Linked DNA regions of Danio rerio. The protein of the gene in region 1 interacts with the protein of each later gene in a pairwise test. Links are inferred from orthologs where the notes say so. Each region holds a gene or a part of one and is shown in the gene's direction. Other genes may lie near its edges.

Region 1 (6,504 bases):
ACAGACACACAATACACACATTTAATATACAGAAAACAACACAGTAAACACACTGAGCCACAGTCACACAAACCAAACATTAAACACACACACACACACAAACACACCGACACACATAATGCACCCAGACACACACACACAAAGACCGAGATAGATAAAATACACATACACAAACACACCAAGACACATAATGCACACAGATACACACACACATCGAGACACATACACACACACACACACACACACACACACAAACAGATAATACACATACACACACACAAACACACTGAGACACATTATATATACACATACACACACACACAGACACACACACACAAATACATACACACATTAGTCACACACACAAACCATAAATACACACTAAACACAGAGAAACACAATACACAGACACACAATACACACATTTAATAAACAGAAAACAACACAGTAAACACACTGAGCCACAGTCACACAAACCAAACATTAAACACACACACACACACAAACACACCGACACACATAATGCACCCAGACACACACACACAAAGACCGAGATAGATAAAATACACATACACAAACACACCAAGACACATAATGCACACAGATACACACACACATCGAGACACATACACATACACACACACACACACACACACACACACACACACAAACAGATAATACACATACACACACACAAACACACTGAGACACATTATATATACACATACACACACACACAGACACACACACACAAATACATACACACATTAGTCACACACACAAACCATAAATACACACTAAACACAGAGAAACACAATACACAGACACACAATACACACATTTAATAAACAGAAAACAACACAGTAAACACACTGAGCCACAGTCACACAAACAAAACATTAAACACACACACACACACCGACACACATAATGCACCCAGACAGACACAAACACACACACACATACACACATACACACACACACACACACACACACACACACACACACACAAAGACCGAGATAGATAAAATACACATACACAAACACACCAAGACACATAATGCACACAGATACACACACACATCGAGACACATACACACACACACACACACACACACAAAAACAGATAATACACATACACACACACAAACACACTGAGACACATTATATATACACATACACACACACACAGACACACACACACACACACACACACACATACAAATACATACACACATTAGTCACACACAAACCATAAATACTCACTAAACACAGAGAAACACAATACACAGACACACAATACACACATTTAATATACAGAAAACAACACAGTAAACACACTGAGCCACAGTCACACAAACCAAACATTAAACACACACACACACACAAACACACCGACAAAAAACACACACACCGACACACATAATGCACACACACACACAATTACGATAACAATTACGACACTCACGATAACAAGACTATATGAAACAGTTATTCGCCTCATCAGCAGCTGAAGTCAGTGTGTGTGTGTGTGTGTGTGTTACTGACCCTTTTCGACTCTGTGAGCTCAAAGCACGGCTGTTTCTCTAGAAATGATCTCAAGTCTTCTGGTAAATCCTCCATTATTACACAGCTAAACCCGATATGAGACAAACCCGGTGTGAAAAACAACACAACCCCAAAACTATCACCACAGAACTCTGTGAAAACACGATTAATATTAAACTAAGAGGATAAACGTGTGTGTTTTGCTGCACATGCTGAGCGGCGCGACGTCTTAAAAACTACAACATGACGTCATATAAACACGACAAAGACCCTAACGCAATGCCAGACAGAAATTTGTTTTTAAAGCTTTAAAATCATTACAGGCTTTAAAGTCACTACATAACTAATCTGTATGATCTTATTTGGTCATTATTTTAAGTTAAAATACATTTTGAGCAGAGAAAACGGGTGATTTATCATTCTGATGAGGCGCATTATTGGACAGTCCTGACAGTCAGCTGACACTCAGCTCTTCGTCGCTCGTCATCGCGTTTTTAATGTTTGTGTGGTAAATAAACATGTGTGTAGTGTCATTACATAGACAGTGTGTGTTATAACTCATATTAAAGTTGTTTTGTGAGCGTTATAATCCGCTGTTTTAGCTTGTTTCTGCGTGTAAACATGTCTGGACCGAACGGAGATCCCGATATTTCAGCTGAAGGAATAATCGAGGATGAAGATGAGTTCAACGAAGAAGGTTAATAATGACGCTTTATTTGATTATTTTCTGCTATTTCTTAACGGTTTTATTATACTATTCGTTTTTTTTAAATAAATAAGTTTACAATGTTATATACAGCCTATAATATATAAATATAAAACCGTGTAAATTTCAGTTTTTCTTTATTTATTGTGTATTGGTTGGACTAAAATGTAAACATTTGCATTATTTTAAAATAAAGGCCCCGAATTTAAAGTAAAAAAATATAGAAAATAAGCTTATTCTATCTAATATTGAGTTATTCATTTTCTGAAGTCAAACACTTATGTTGACTAAAATGAATATAAACATGTGAAAACACAGCATTTTGGGTTATTTTATGACAAAAAATGCTTTAAACTAGCTATTTTACTTATAATTTCTAAGAAATGTCATGAGTAGTTTACAGAATTAAACCAAATTTATGTTTTACTCACACGTACCTAAATAATAAATCCAGAGAAAGAGAGCAACGTTAGCACACACACACACACACACACACACACACACACACTCACACACACACACACACACACACACACACACACACACACACACACACACACACACACACACACACACTTTAAACAAAAAATAATAAATAGTACTAAATAATATGCCATATTTAGGTCTTAATATTTGCAGTGTAAAACCTTTTTTTTTTTTTTAAATATGAACACTACAATAGCACAGAAATAATGGAAAAGTCCAGTGGATGACTAACGTCTGCTAGATGTTAAAACCATCGTTGTGTCAGCGAAACATCCTGAAAGAGGAGCCAAAGAAAGAGGAAGTGTGTGTGTGCAGAGCTGTGCTGATTACTTATGAAATGTAATAAGTTACTGATTACAAATTACATGACAAAATTAGTAATCAGTAATACAATCTCATAGATTACACATTTGTGGTAATGTAACCAAGCTACTTAAATTTCATTTAGATTACTTTTGAACTACTGATTACATCATAAAATTAGTAATCAGTAATGTAATCTGTTAGATTATGGCAATGTAATCTGATTACTTTTGGATTAGATTTACATTTTTTTAACTGTTCTCAGTTACTGATTACAAATACCATGGCAATATTACTCAGTAATATAAGACGTTTATGGCAAGTAACCTGACTACTTTTGGATTACATTTAGATTACCTTTTAACTTTAATCAATTGCTAATTACAAATTACATGACAAAATCTGTAGTAATTTCGTCTGTTAGATTACACAGTTATGGTAATGTAATCTAACTACTTTTAGATTGCATTTAGATAACTTTTTTTACTGCTGATTACAAATTACATGACAAATTGTGCAGTCAGTAATAAAATAAATTAGGTTACGCATTTGTGGTAATGTAACAAAAGGACTTGGATTACATTTAGATTGCTTTTAATTACTGATTACATGATAAAAATATTAATCAGTAATGTATTCTGTTGGATTACGCATTTATGGTAACGCAATCTGACTACTTTTGGATAACATTTAAATTACTTGTGAATTAATTAGTTACTAATTACAAATTACTAAATTAGTAGTCAGTAATATAATCTCTTAGATTACACATTTTTGGTAATGTAATCAGACGTCTTTAAATTTAAATTACTTTTAAACAGTAATCATTGCTGGTTACAAATTACATGATCAGATTAGTAATCGGTAATACAATCTCTTAGATTACATATTTGTGGTAATGTAACCAAAGTACTTGGATTACATTTAGATTACTTTTGAATTACTGATTACAAATTACATTTTAAAATTGGTAATCAGTATTGTATTCTGTTGGACTTCGCAATTATGTAAATCTGACTACTTTTGGATTACATTTAGATTACTTTCGAAATGTACTCAGTTACAGATTACAAATACCATGACAAAACTAGTCAGTAATATAATACAATTATGGTAATGTAATCAGACTACTTTTGGATTACATTTAGATTACTTTTTTTAACGGTAATCAACTGCTTATTGCAAACTACATGACAAATTGTGTAGTCAGTAATAAAATATATTAGATTACATGTGTGGTAATGTACCAAAGGACTTGGATTACATTTAGATTACTTTTAAATTACTGATTACATGATAAAAATAGTAATCAGTAATGTATTCTGTTGAATTACACGTTTATGGTAACGCAATCTGACTATGGATTACATTTAAATTACTTGTGAACTAATTAGATACTGATTACAGATTACTAAATTAGAAGTCAGTAATATAATCTCTTAGATTACACATTTGTGGTGATGTAACGAAAGGACTTGGATTACATTTAGATTACTTTTGAATCATTGATTACATGATACAATTAGTAATCAGTGATATAATCTGTTGGATTACACGTTTAAGGTAACCTAATCTCACTACATGTGGATTATTAACTAAACTGTTACTGATTACAGATTACATGAGAAAATGTTTTGTCAGTAATATAATCACTTAGATTACACATTTTTTGGTAATGTAATCAGACGTCTTTTGGATTAAATTGAGATTACTTTCAAACAGTAATCAATTGCTGGTTACAAATTATATGATCAAATTATTAGTAATCGGTAATACAATCTCTTAGATTACACATTTGTGGTAATGTAACCAAAGTACTTGGATTACATTTAGATTACTTTTGAATTACTGATTATTACAAATTACATGATAACATTAATAATCAGTAATATATTCTGTTAGATTACACATTTATGGTTATGTAATCTGACTACTTTTGGATTACATTTAGATTACTTTCAAACTGTTCACAGTTACTGATTACAAATTACATGACAAAATTAGTCAGTAATAAAATACATTTATGGTAATGCCATCTGACTACTTTTGGATTACATTTAGATTACTTTTATGCTAACCCATCTCTGATGTCACATACACTGATGCAGGATAATCTTGTTCTGTTTTGACAGATAGAAATAAAAATATATCTTCAGGATATTATTATAAACAAGTATAAACATTAAACACGAGGAGAATAAATGAATTGTGAATAATTTGCAGCCACTGTGTAAATGTAATCCACAAAAGTAATCCGATTAGCAGTATTTAAAAAAATACTTACTTGATTTTGGTAAATCTGATGAGGTGATCCAGATTACAGCTGCTATGTGTTTTCCTCAACGTTCAGCTGTTATAATGTGTTATGCTGTGTTTTCGTTAGAGTACGCAGCCATCGACTCCATGCTGGACCAGATCAACTCCTGTCTGGACGACATCGAGGAGCGAAACGATGCTCTGAACGGGAAACTGCAGGAGCTGCTGGAGTCCAACAGAGCGGCGCGCAGAGACTTCAGACAGCAGATCACGGACCATGCAGATCTTCCTCCTCCTGCTAATGATGATGAAGATGAACAGTCCAGGGACGCACAGAAGAAAGACTAAAGGAATGTCTCTGTCTGACACCTGCAGCTGGACCAAAACTGTGTGTTATGTGTGTGTGTATTTATTAAATGTTGTGTATGTCCAAGATGTATTAATTTAAATACTGTGATTGAAGTCAGGTGCATCTTTAAAATGGCTGTAATGCACAGGATTACCAGCGCTCTGGAGTACTTGATTTTGAGATAATCTATTTATAGATATAGATAAGTGCAGTCTGATTAATCAAATCCAAAATAAAAGTTCATATTTACAAAATATACTTGTGCATACTGTGTATAAAAATAGATGTATGACTATATTGTGTGTGTGTATGTGTATATATATTAAATATAAATACAAATTGCAAAAATTTGTTGTATTTAATGTACAGTATATGTGTATATCTATCTATCTATACTTATGTATACTTACGGCCATGATTAACAGCTGTGACAGTCGTGATTGACAGCCATAATTAACAGCTGTGATTGACAGTCGTGATTGACAGCCATAATTAACAGCTGTGATTGACAGTCGTGATTGACAGCCATAATTAACAGCCATGATTGACAGTTGTGATTGACAGCCATAATTAACAGCTGTGATTGACAGTCGTGATTGACAGCCATAATTAACAGCTGTGATTGACAGTCGTGATTGACAGCCATGATTAACAGCTGTGATTGACAGTCGTGATTGACAGCCATGATTAACAGCTGTGATTGACAGTCGTGATTGACAGCCATAATTAACAGCTGTGATTGACAGTCGTGATTGACAGCCATAATTAACAGCCATGATTGACAGTTGTGATTGACAGCCATAATTAACAGCTGTGATTGACAGTCGTGATTGACAGCCATAATTAACAGCCATGA
Region 2 (6,424 bases), on another chromosome or scaffold:
TTTCTTGTCGGCTTAGTCCCTTTATTATTCCGGGGTCGCCACAGCGGAATGAACCGCCAACTTATCCAGCAAGTTTTTAAACAGCGGATGCCCTTCAAGCAGCAACCACTCTCACACTCATACACTATGGACAATTTAGCCTACCCAATTCACCTGTACCGCATGTCTTTGGACTGTGGGGGAAACCGGAGCAAACGGAGGAAACCCACGCGAACGCAGGGAGAACATACAAACTCCACACAGAAACGCTAACAGGGCCGAGGCTCGAACCAGCGACCTTTTTGCTGTGAGGCAACAGCACTACCTACTGCGCCACTGCTTTGCCCATTTTTAAGATATGGTGCTGGAAAAAGAAAATTAATGCAGTGCTTATTGTTAGGTCTGACCGCCTGAGACCAACTTTATATCATATATCAGGCAGTGGACCTCATTGATTTTTAAAGATAATGATTTTGTTAATGCAAACAGTTCACCAGAAGAGCTTGACCCAGGTTACTGCAAAAGAAAAGCCTTTTGCATAATTCTGTATAGCATATTTGAAAAAAAGTCTATGGATAAAATATGCTTACTTTACCAAGTTTCTCATATGCCATTCCAAACTGTATAATAACGTAATTACTTGATAATGTCTATTATCAGTAGGAAATTGTTGATTGGTTAGTTAGAAAAACAAATTCTTCAGTTCTTCATTCTTTCATTTATTTTCCTTCAAATTAGTCCCTTATTTATCAGGATTTGCCACTGTGGAATGAACCACCAACTATAGTGGCATATGTTTCACGCAGTGGATGCCCTTCCAGCTGCAACCAATCACTGGGAAACACCCATACACTCTCACATTCACTACGGCCAATTAAGTTCATTCATATCACCTATAGTGCATGTCTTAAAGTTAAAAAGAGGTAAAGTTGGTTTTACATTCGCACATTCAGTCAGTGACAGGTTGTGGTATGCTCCCTATATTGTTTACCATGGTATTTTGAATATTGGGTCTGAAATCACATGTTAGTATGTAGGCATGGGACGATAACTGTGTTCAAGGTATGCAGCGGTTTGGAAAAGTCAAGGTTTTAAAACAGTTAAAAACAGTTCGTTTTTAGGGACAATAGTGTTCTTTTTAGTGTTTTTGAAATAAATGAAGACAGCAGAAGTCTAAAATTCGTTTAAATTATTTAGCCTCACGTTTACTGCTCCAAAATACTTTAAATGTTTCTCAAATGAAAATATATAGTGTACAAAGGGGAAAATGTTTTGTTTTTTACCCAGACATTTAAAAAGAATATATTTTAGAGCAATAATCTCCATACCGCGACACCGCAAAACTGTGATATTTATATCCAAGGTTATCATACCGTCAGAATCTTATACCAGCCCATGCCTATTAATATGACTTCAAAACAACATCAGACCTATTTAACTGTGACTGTGAACCATGTTGTACTTTGATTGTCATTAGATGTTAAATTAATTTTAAAATTTAGAGTTTGCGAAAAATGATTTTGTGAAATTAAATTACTAAGGAGAGAGTAAGCACCGGAGCACCCGGAGGAAACCCACACCAACACGGGGAGAACATGCAACTCCACACAGAAATGCCAACTAGCCCAGCTGGGACTCGAACCAGCGACCTTCTTGCTGTGAAGCAACAGTGTTCAATTATATTATTTATGTTTAATACATTTTCACTATTTAAGGTTCCTGTAATTTTGATGTGGTTTTATCATTGTGATTGGTTTTGTTTATTTTACATAAAGCTGAAAGAAAATGTTAGAACCTCTAAATGAAAACTAGAATTGATACAGGTAAATGTATTTTTTGTTAAATTATCAAAATGACTACAATTTACTTGAAGCATACTAATGAAGTAACTAATTGAAACATAAAGAAATACTATAACAGTGTTTAGATAATACTAAAACAATAATGAGAAGTAAATGTACTTTGTGAATGTTTTAGACCAGATCGGACATATAAATAAATAAACATACATACAAATACATAATCGTCAATCTTTCAATATTTCATTCATTTCGATGACCTTTTCCATCCCTGGAAAACCTTTTAAAAGCCTCAGAAATTGTATATAACCTTTCTAAAACAAGTTTATATTAGAATACTGCATTACGTCCTTAAGCAGCTACGAAATGCAGCAATAAAAGAGCAGATTAATCGCAGTAATAATGGGATAATCTGTGTGGACTGAGCGGAGCAGAGAGGGCGCAGCCTCACAGATCATATGCTATCAGTTAGCATTTGTTTTACATTCAGATCAATCGATTAATTAACACATTACAGTCAGAAAATAAAACATCGACACAACAACCAAGCGTAAAAAATAAGCTACATTTTAGTGAAAATAAAAAGACAACTGGACACATAAAAGACTGCTGGGTTTAAAGAACAAACATAACTTCAGCTGTGCTTTTAGCATTCACTGGTTTCAGTCATTTCACAATATCTTCTCTGTCAGCAGTCATCGCTAGGATGTAATTAAAGCAACTCACCTTGTCATGTCTGGGGAAAAGCTAAATGAAAAGAGAATATGTTTGTTTATGTTGACTAAAGCAGCAAGTTCGATCCACGGCATTGAATTAACAGAGTCCAACAACTGCTTCCGGGTCAAAATGCCTGGCACAACAAAAGTAGGGAATTACAGAGTAGCCGTTCGCGGATTTTGTGTTTCTGTAATGCCATTTCAAATAACGTATAGACACAGATAGATATATGGTTTTAGTTGTGATTCCCTTATAATGAATGGACCGCGTATAAAGGAAATATTTTTTTTAAAAAGAATCCAAACAGAGACAATTTTACGACGTTACGTTTTACGACTGTTTTCCTTGTTGCCTAGCAGCAGCGGGAGCGCAAGAGGAACCCAAGATGGCTTAATAAGGTCTGAAAACGTTATTTTCAGTGTCTTTAGTTTCACAAATATGTGTAAAAGTTGACATTAAGACGTGTTCAAATTTAGGTTTATGCTAACGAACAAAACCAACCCAAATACGAGCAATTGCATGCATTTCTAATTATCGACATTGTGAGAACTAACTAACGTTATATGTCTGGCTAATATATTTAGCATGGCGTTTTGTCGTGTATTTATTATTCTGCTATGACTCTTTTGTGCTGTGACGGTATATGGTGTTGTTTTCAATGAGAAGTCCGTGTGAAGAAATAAACTACATTCGTTTTGCATGTTGTCTGTAGGTAGAAAAAGACTGGCAATCTCAGCATCAGTTGTTCAGTTCAGCTCTGGGGGACATTTGCAGCTGACCTGAAGAATGCCTGCGGCCGCAGACTGGCGGCTCCTCATGGGAATGGATCCAGAGGATCTGGGGGATGAGGATGAGAAGATCTGTGATTTGATTTTAATGGTAATCTGACACGTTTGAGGCACACTAATTGTGAGGAGTGTAGCTAGATGTTACAACAATCTGCAACTACAATACAACAATCTGGAGTTGCAATTATTAAAGAAACACTTATATATATATATATATATATATATATATATATATATATATATATATATATATATATATATATATATTTTTTTTTTTTTTTTTTTTTTTTTTTATATTTTTTTTTTAATGATCACACACACAATATGTGATCATTAAAAAATGTATTTTAGACTCAACATTCTTGAATAGAATTATGGTTGTGTAAATTAGTGTTTCTGAAACACATTCCTGTGGGACCACCATCATTGCATGTTTTGGGTGTCACACTCATAACAGATAGAGGTAAAGTTGGTTTTATATTTGGATATTGAGACATTCTCATTAGTAATATAATTTAGATAACTTCTTTGCAAATTTTTAATAGAGAAATCTTATTAGCAGCAAATAACTATCAAAGTACAGCATTGTTCACAGTGAATTAGATAGTGTTAATGTTGATTAGGAGTCATACGAATATTCAAAGTAACATGGTAAACAATTTAGGGACTTCTAAATGAACGAATGTGCGAAAAGAAAACCAACTTTACCTCTATCCATTACAGGCCTTTCAGTCTACTAATGAGCTAATGATTTGAATTTGGTGTGTTTGGTTAAGAAAACATGGAAAATGTGCAAGGCTGGTGGTCCTCTTGGAACGTGGTTGAGAAACACTGGTGTATATAACTCATTCTGATATCACCCAATATGTTTTTAGTACAGTGGAGGGTAAGATAAACATAATTAGTAAGGACAAATTACATATTTTTTCTATTTTGTTAAACCGTTGTTTACTGAATAAATTGCATCTGTTAATCAGTTATAACTGCAATTTATTTTTCACAAAATATAAATATGTTGTAAACTATACTGGGAGCTTTATTACTTACACATTTCTATCATTTTAAACGCTACAATTAACAACAGGACTCAGACTGTGCAAAATAAATTAAATTATATGCAATAGTTAAAATGGCACTTTAGACAGTTTTTTCATTTATACATATTTATTTACACATACTATATATATTGGATATATACTTGATCAAAAGAGATTTGGTGTATGTTTTTATATTTATATATTTGTTTGTGTTTTCTGGTTTTATTTTTTTAGTAAATAAATGATAAAATTATATTTAACTACTAGTAATACAAACTATTTAGTGTGAATATGTGAAGTTACAAACTTAATGCTCAGTTATTGTGTGTGTTTGTGGTTGCATGTTCAAAAAAATATTTATTGTTTATTCTTTCAAGCCAAACCACAGAGCATCTCCAGCCTCAGGTCTTGCTTTCAGGCTAACATCCGCTTATCGGAATGTTTAAGGAAGAAAACATTCTTCTTGCAAATTTGTCTGATAATAAATTTCTTTTGCATACAGGTCAAACCACGGGACCTAAAAGCAGATGATTCTGAGAAAATGATTCAACTCTTTAGGATCTCACAAACCCTTCTGAGGGTAGGGCTGATTCATCATTTACGCAATGTTTGCAGCACTGCGTACAGTAGTTATGTAGTAGTTAACATTTACCAGATTTCTTTTAATTATGTTGTATGGTCATTGAATTATCATGAGCATTTGTTGTTATGAATCAGTTAATGTTATTATTTATGTTTGGGTTTTTAGATGAAACTGGATGAAATTAAATGTGCCTATGAGGTTGTAGACAGCGCAGGGGCAGAACAAGCAAGAATTGGTATGTATAATCATTGCTAGGTTTTAAGCATCTCCAGAACAAATCACAGCATGTGAAAACGCAGCATGGAAAACGCAAAAAAAAAAAGAAAGTAGTGATTTCCAAATTTGCTTTGACTTGTATTTCATTGCAGACAATATAAACACAAAATATTTCATGTTTTGTCAGGTCAATTTCAATTTCATTTAAATATGCATCCCTTCCTGTCATTCATACCTGCAACACATTCCAAAAAAGTTGTGACAGGAGCAGTTTAGGGATGATAATCTGGTAAATTGGTTAAATATTGATGTGATTTGAAACAGGTAGTGTCAACAGGTGATTGTAATTATGATCTGGTACAAAAACAGCATCCAAGAAAGGTCTAGTCCTTTAGGAGCAAAGATGGGCGGGGGATCGCCACTTTGAAACAAACACATAAGAAAATTATTAAAATGTTTAAAAACAAGGTCCTCAAAGAAAGATAGGAAGACATTTGAAAATTTCACCTTCAGTGCAAAACATAATTATAAGATTCAGGTAGTCTGAAGGAATTTCAGTGTGTAAAGGACAAGGTTGCAAGCCTAAGCTGAACTATCATAATCTCCGATCCCAGCACTGTATCAAGAATCGTCATTCATCTATAAGTAATATCACCACATGGGCTCAGGACTACTTTGACAAACATTTTCCACAATATGTTACATCCACAAATGCCAGTTAAAACTTTACTGTGCCAAAAGGAAGCCCTATGTTAACAGTGTCCAGAAGTGCTGTCAACTTCTCTGGGCTCTGAGACATCTGGGATGGACCATCACACAATGAAAGTGTGTGCTGTGGTTAGATGAATCAGTATTTCAAGTATTTTTAGGGGAAATTAAATACCTTGGCACTTGGTACTTGCACTTCTGTGATGGCACCATTAATGCTGAAAAGTACATAGAGGTTTTGTAGACAATATGTTGCCGTCTTTTCCAGGGACCCCCATGCACATTTCAACAAGCCAATGCAAAACCACATTCTGAACACATTACAAGTCCTGGCTGCGGAGAAAGAGGATACAGGTACTTGACTGGCCTGCATGCAGTCCGAACCTGTCTCCAATAGAGAATATGTGGTGCATTTTGAGGGCACAAATTGCAACAATAAAGATCATGTGCTGTTGCCCACTGTAAGGCTTGCAGGAAGAATGGGACAAGATTACACCTGAAACACTTTATCAATTTAGTGTCTTCAGTCTGCAAACGTCTTTTAAGTGTTGTGAAAAGGAATGGCACCATACAAAGTGGTAAATGCTTTACTGTTCT
Region 3 (5,685 bases), on another chromosome or scaffold:
GAAAACATGTAGATGCTAGGCTCTGTTATAATTAACCACAAGGCCACTCCGGGCTATCACAATCAATAGACAATAGAGATAAGAAGCTGTTTGACCCCTCTGTTATCAGTGGCACGAGTGACAGCTGTCAGATACAAGGTCTGTGGTTGCTGCTGACCTGCCAGCTGGTTTGCAAATTCATTTACATCCCAAAGGCTGTGCACCTGCCCGGCAAAGGCAAATGAGAAGCATGCTTGTATTTCCTCTATGGATTAAACACAAGGTAGTTTCTATTTATATCTGTATTGAGAAACTGACATGGAGAAATTGGAAATGGGAAATAAAACTGGCATGGGGAGTAAATAATGGTGCTTTTACTAAACAAATGTCAAGTATATCAATTGTGTGGGCCATTTTAAAGGTATACTAATGTTAGCATCACTTCCCCTGATGGAGGTTTAATGATGGCATCGGATGCCTGTTGTTATAAAAGCAATATAAACCATTCCGATACACTTCAAAAACTAGATATGTCTATTATCAAATACACAAACGTTGTAGCTTAGCCGAACCACACACGGTCACAGACACACATATTCCTCCATACAGAGCTTTAACCTTTGTGCTAATTCAGTGCCTTTTATTTGTATTTCTCCACAGGAGGTTACTTACCGCAACACAAAGCTCCGGGTCGGGATGCGATGGCGCTGGTGCTGTGGAGAATGATGATGAACAGAGGATAGTGGACGGACACCTCCCTCCCTGCCTTTCTGATCAACACTAGACAGGACTCGGAGCTCTCATGTCAACCAAACGGCTTGAGGAAACACTGGGCAAACTCGTCACACCTTAAGCCCTCTCAACCTTACGTACGGAATATTCTTGGTCCGTGTTGAAATCACAGTGCGTTGTTGTTCCATCTACAAACCTACAGTTGTGTCTGCTGCTGCGCTCTTGCCTACTGCTGTGTAGGCTGATCTCCAATGCGAGACTTTCGGTAAACTGCGCATGCGCCACCCTGTCGTGTTCTTTTTCTGCCACGCCCATATGTTGAACTCTCACATTCCATTCAGTCCCTCCAGCTAGAGGCACAAACACGTGTTTTCGCTGTTAGGTATTGTTTTGCTAAACAAATATAGGACATGTTTGAGAACAGAGCAAAAAAAGTAGTTTGAAACACATTTCGGCATGCCACATACATCTAGTTAATATTCTTTTACTTGCAAACTTTCATAAACACAAATGTGAGTAAATCTGCAAGAGTATACTAATATTTTACACACACACACACACACACACACACACACACACACACACACACACACACACACACACACACACACACATATATATATATATATATATATATATATATATATATATATATATATATGTGTGTGTGTGTGTGTGTGTGTGTGTATATATATATTGACAAGTATCTGTTGGCTCGCCTCACAGCAAGAAGGACGCTGGTTTGAGCCTCGGCTGGGTCGGCTGGCATTTCTGTGTGGAGTTTGCATGTTCTCCCCGTGTGGCGATTTTCCCCACAAGTCCAAAGACATGCTGTACAGGTGAATTGGGTAAGCTAAAATTGTTTGTGAACGAGAGTGTAAGTATGGGTGTTTCCCAGTGATGGGTTGCAGCTGCATAAAAACACAGCTGGATTAGTTAGCGGTTCATTCCGCTGTGTCGACCACTGATTAATAAAGGGACTAAGCTGAAAATAAAATAAATGATCATACAAATCAGTTATTATTTTAAATGTTTCGGCAGTGTGGCTACAAATATTCAAAACATCACAGAAAGTTAAGGGAAAATTAAATATTTAATGTTATCATTTCTTTAAAAGGTTTTAATCTCTAAAAGAACATTCTGTTTATCTTATGTACAAACGCTTATTTACACTGTGTTTGGGGCTTATCGTGAAGATAAGCACCTTAGTTTGACCTTTGAGTGATGCTTTGGACCCTCTGTCTGTCATATGATCATAGGCTAAGGCTACATAATACTTTTGTGGGTTATGTCATTATGTGCAGCTGTTAAAGAATATGTCATAACTTCTTTGTGGCTTTTCTCTGTTGATCATGCTTTTGTGTCATGATGTCCTTATTTTCAGTCTCTGAAAAAGACTGAGACATTATTCACTATTATTATTAATTAACTATTACAGATGGGGGCGAGGCAGTGGTGCAGTAGGTAGTGCTGTCGCCTCAGCAAGAAGGTCGCTGGTTTGAACCTCGGCTCAGTTGGCGTTTCTGTGTGGAGTTTGCATGTTCTCCCTGCCTTCGGGTGGGTTTCCTCCGGGTGCTCTGGTTTCCCCCACAGTCCAAAGACATGCGGTAATGGTAAATTGGGTAGACTAAATTGTCCGTAGTGTATGAGAGTGCGTGTGTGAATGTTTCCCAGAAATGGGTTGCAGCTGGAAGAGCATCTGCTGTGTAAAAACTTGCTGGATAAGATGGCAGTTCATTCCGCTATGGCAACCCCAGATTAATAAAGCCGACAAAAAAATGAATGAATGAATGATTACAGATGGACTGTCTTGTTTATATTCCAGACTTACTGAGTCTCAGTATCAAAGTAAGCTGTGCTATTTCTTTAAACTGGCCCCCGTGTAAATGTTACATTACAGTAGCACGAGGATATGCTTTTAATGTTTTATATGCTTTATGTATTGTTATTAATTATGTTTTGTTTGTTTGTTTGGCTTTTTGGAGTCATTCTGTATAAAAGGTAGACTCTACATTTTATATTTAAACGTTGGAAGTGGTGATGGACGGTACACCATCGTACTTTACATTGATCAACACAATGTGGTGATAAAACTAGTTCGGTTTATTGCATAAACACGTCTCATTTTGATGCACACAGTGCACGTTAAAGACGTAAACACAGTATTGCGACACTGGTGTTTTTTTACACTGTGAAGTGCTCAAAAGGCGCCAATCTGCGCAGACGCGAGATCGACAAGCATTTGAAACCAAAACAGGAAGTTGTAAGTATTGTGGGACGTGTAGTTCCGCTTGTAGGCCGCTGGTCTGGATAACAGCACACGAAGGAACCAAACAAAACTAAAATAGGTACACTTGTAAGGCACTGCAGTATTACTGGTGCATCTTTTACACAATCATGCCCGGCTTCACTTGCTGCGTGCCCGGATGCTACAACAACTCACACCGGGACCGCGATCTGCGATTCTACACCTTTCCAAAGGATCCCACTCAGCGAGAGATATGGCTGAAGAACATTTCGCGGGCCGGGGTGAGCGGCTGCTTTAGCACTTTCCAGCCCACCACCGGTCACCGGGTCTGCAGCGTCCACTTCCCCGGCGGCAGAAAGACCTACACCATCCGCGTCCCGACGCTTTTCCCTCTGCGCGGGGTGAACGAGAGACGGAGCAGACGCGGCCGGAGCAGGAAGGTTTCTGCGGTCGTGCCCATCATCACCAGCGTCGTGTCCACCGCTAACGAGACCGCTCCGCTGGAGGAGGACGAGGAGGAGGGGGACATCGAAAACACCACCGTGGTGCAGATCGGCCAGAACGGCCAGTACATCGCGCCCGTGGACCTCACGTCGTCCGGGGACGGCTCGTGCATCACAGCGGTGGTGTCCGGCGGAGAGGAGTCCGCTGTCCACGAGTCGTGCTCCGTGGCCGATTTCGCGCTGTGCGGGGCGGATCATTCGTACTCGCTCACCACCGGCACAACGTCCACGGAGCTGCTGCGAAAGCTGAACGAGCAGCGGGACATAATCGCGCTGATGGAGATCAAAATGAAGGAGATGAAGAACACCATCCGGCAGCTGCGAGTCACCGAGGCACGGCTGCAGGACGAGCTGCGGCAGCGCGAGCAGGAGCGCGAACGGCTGATCTGCGCCAACACCATCATCAAGAGGAAACTCTGACGAACAACCGGGACCTAAGATGGACTGGAGACGCGTAGGACGGTCTGTGCTTCTGTGCGACGACAATTGAGCATCATCGTAGTTCTCATTGAAACTTCCTCCAGGACTCGGATAGGGCAGATGAGCTGTGTGTATGTGCGTGTTTGAGCGCAGAAGCACGAGCTGTCAGGCACAGCACTACACGGAGACTGACGGGAGATCAGCGGACGGGTCCTACTCATTTTATATTTAATGTCGTTTGTTTGTTTGTTTGTTTGTTTGTTTGTTTGTTTGTGCGAGGAAGGCGGCAGACTCGAGGTTTGCCTTCTGCCACACTTCATGACCATGTAACATGCGCGCGCACACAGAGACTGCTTCATGTTAGTGCGTAATAATCAAATGCTTCTCATTTGGTTTTTCTTTCCTTGTTTTTAATATCCGAGTGCATCAGAGCTTCTGGCACAGGTGAACTATTTCTATACATGCAGGTTAATGCAGTTAGAAAAGGTAAATGGTTTGAAGTAAACTGCTTTTGAACTATATGACACGTGAGAGTGAGACTCTTTTTTTTTTTGGTGTGATATTTAAGCAAACAATGATTGTTATATTTTTGTAAGACACTTTTCTTTTAGTTTTTATTCTTGTGGTAGCACATTTTCCATCACATTTATGAATTGTCTTCAGTAAAATAGAAGCTAATTGACCAATGATTCTAACATTTAAATATTGTGGGCAGATGATATTGACTCTTAAAAGTCATCATTTACTAATCCAGCATTTGTTTTAATATGTTTGAGGTTTCTTTCTTCTTTTGAACACTAAATATATTTTGAAGCATGTTGGAAACCAGTAGCCACTGACTTTAGTATTTCCATCCTATTATGGAAGTCAAAGGCTATATGTCAAAAACATTCTTCTTAATTTTATCAGAAAAAAAATCTCTAAAGGTAAGGACCATTTTACTTTTGGGGTTTTTGTTATTAGCAACACTGGTGGCTGTTAGGTGAACTGCAGCCACCCATTAACTTGTTGCTCATCTCTCTCTCTCTCTCTCACACACACACAATTAAAATGCAATTCAATGACCCAGCATACTCATGTCAAGGTTAATTTTCATTCTGTCTAGAAAAGGAAAAAATAACAATATATAAATAATATATATATATATATATATATATATATATATATATATATATATATATATATATATATATATATATATATATAAACAGAATATTAGGGCTGGGTTCTGATCCAGATTGCACATAGAAGGTAAATCGCATCATAACAAACTATCTAAAGACATGGGGGATTTATAATTATAATTGCAGTAAATTGTGGAAGCATTAAAAGTGTCCAAGATGTCCAAAATCTTTACACGCATTGACCCAAAGACTGTTTAGATGCATGTCACTGATGAGGAGATGACAAATGTTTACTGTATGATGATGTAAACAAAATGGCAGTAAAAAAACACCCAGCAGGCACAAGACGTCAACATGATGTCAGAATGACGTTGTGGCGACGCTGCATTTTGTTTGAAAATGAAAATCGGGTTGGCGTCAGAACTCAATGTCAGGCCGACGTCAATGTCCAACAACCAACTCAAAATCAACCAAATGTCAACGTGTAATGATGTTACAGCTTGACGTTGTGTGGAAGATGTTGGCTCAATGTTGGATTTTGGTCCCTTTCTAACACCACCTAAAATCAACCAAATATTAACACCATTTGACGTTGTTATTGGACATCAAAATGACTTTGTCCTTGGACGCTGGCTAGACATTGAATTTTGGTCACCTGACATCACAACCTAACCTAATA

The links.
Region 2: the proteins of bbln (region 1) and cep290 interact in binary tests that used the Homo sapiens proteins (3 or more experiments, as listed by UniProt). The two-hybrid records come from large-scale screens. The link is inferred for Danio rerio from reciprocal best matches to the Homo sapiens genes BBLN and CEP290.
Region 3: the proteins of bbln (region 1) and thap11 interact in a two-hybrid assay, tested with the Homo sapiens proteins (2 studies listed by BioGRID and IntAct). The link is inferred for Danio rerio from reciprocal best matches to the Homo sapiens genes BBLN and THAP11.

The regions. Positions count from the first base shown.
Region 1 is NC_133180.1:1,623,937-1,630,440, forward strand, and holds bbln (bublin coiled-coil protein), read left to right. Parts: upstream 1-2,008; 5' UTR 2,009-2,169; coding exon 2,170-2,245; intron 2,246-5,426; coding exon 5,427-5,647; 3' UTR 5,648-6,005; downstream 6,006-6,504. UniProt on the Homo sapiens protein: Essential for intermediate filament organization in intestinal cells, interacts with intermediate filament and regulates intestinal lumen morphology.
Region 2 is NC_133200.1:18,972,755-18,979,178, reverse strand, and holds the start of cep290 (centrosomal protein of 290 kDa), read left to right. Parts: upstream 1-2,842; 5' UTR 2,843-2,893; intron 2,894-3,207; 5' UTR 3,208-3,281; coding exon 3,282-3,374; intron 3,375-4,822; coding exon 4,823-4,900; intron 4,901-5,068; coding exon 5,069-5,138; intron 5,139-6,424. UniProt on the Homo sapiens protein: Involved in early and late steps in cilia formation. Its association with CCP110 is required for inhibition of primary cilia formation by CCP110.
Region 3 is NC_133182.1:29,080,943-29,086,627, reverse strand, and holds thap11 (THAP domain-containing protein 11), read left to right. Parts: upstream 1-2,985; 5' UTR 2,986-3,108; coding exon 3,109-3,882; 3' UTR 3,883-4,403; downstream 4,404-5,685. UniProt on the Homo sapiens protein: Transcription factor, which has both transcriptional activation and repression activities. Also modulates chromatin accessibility.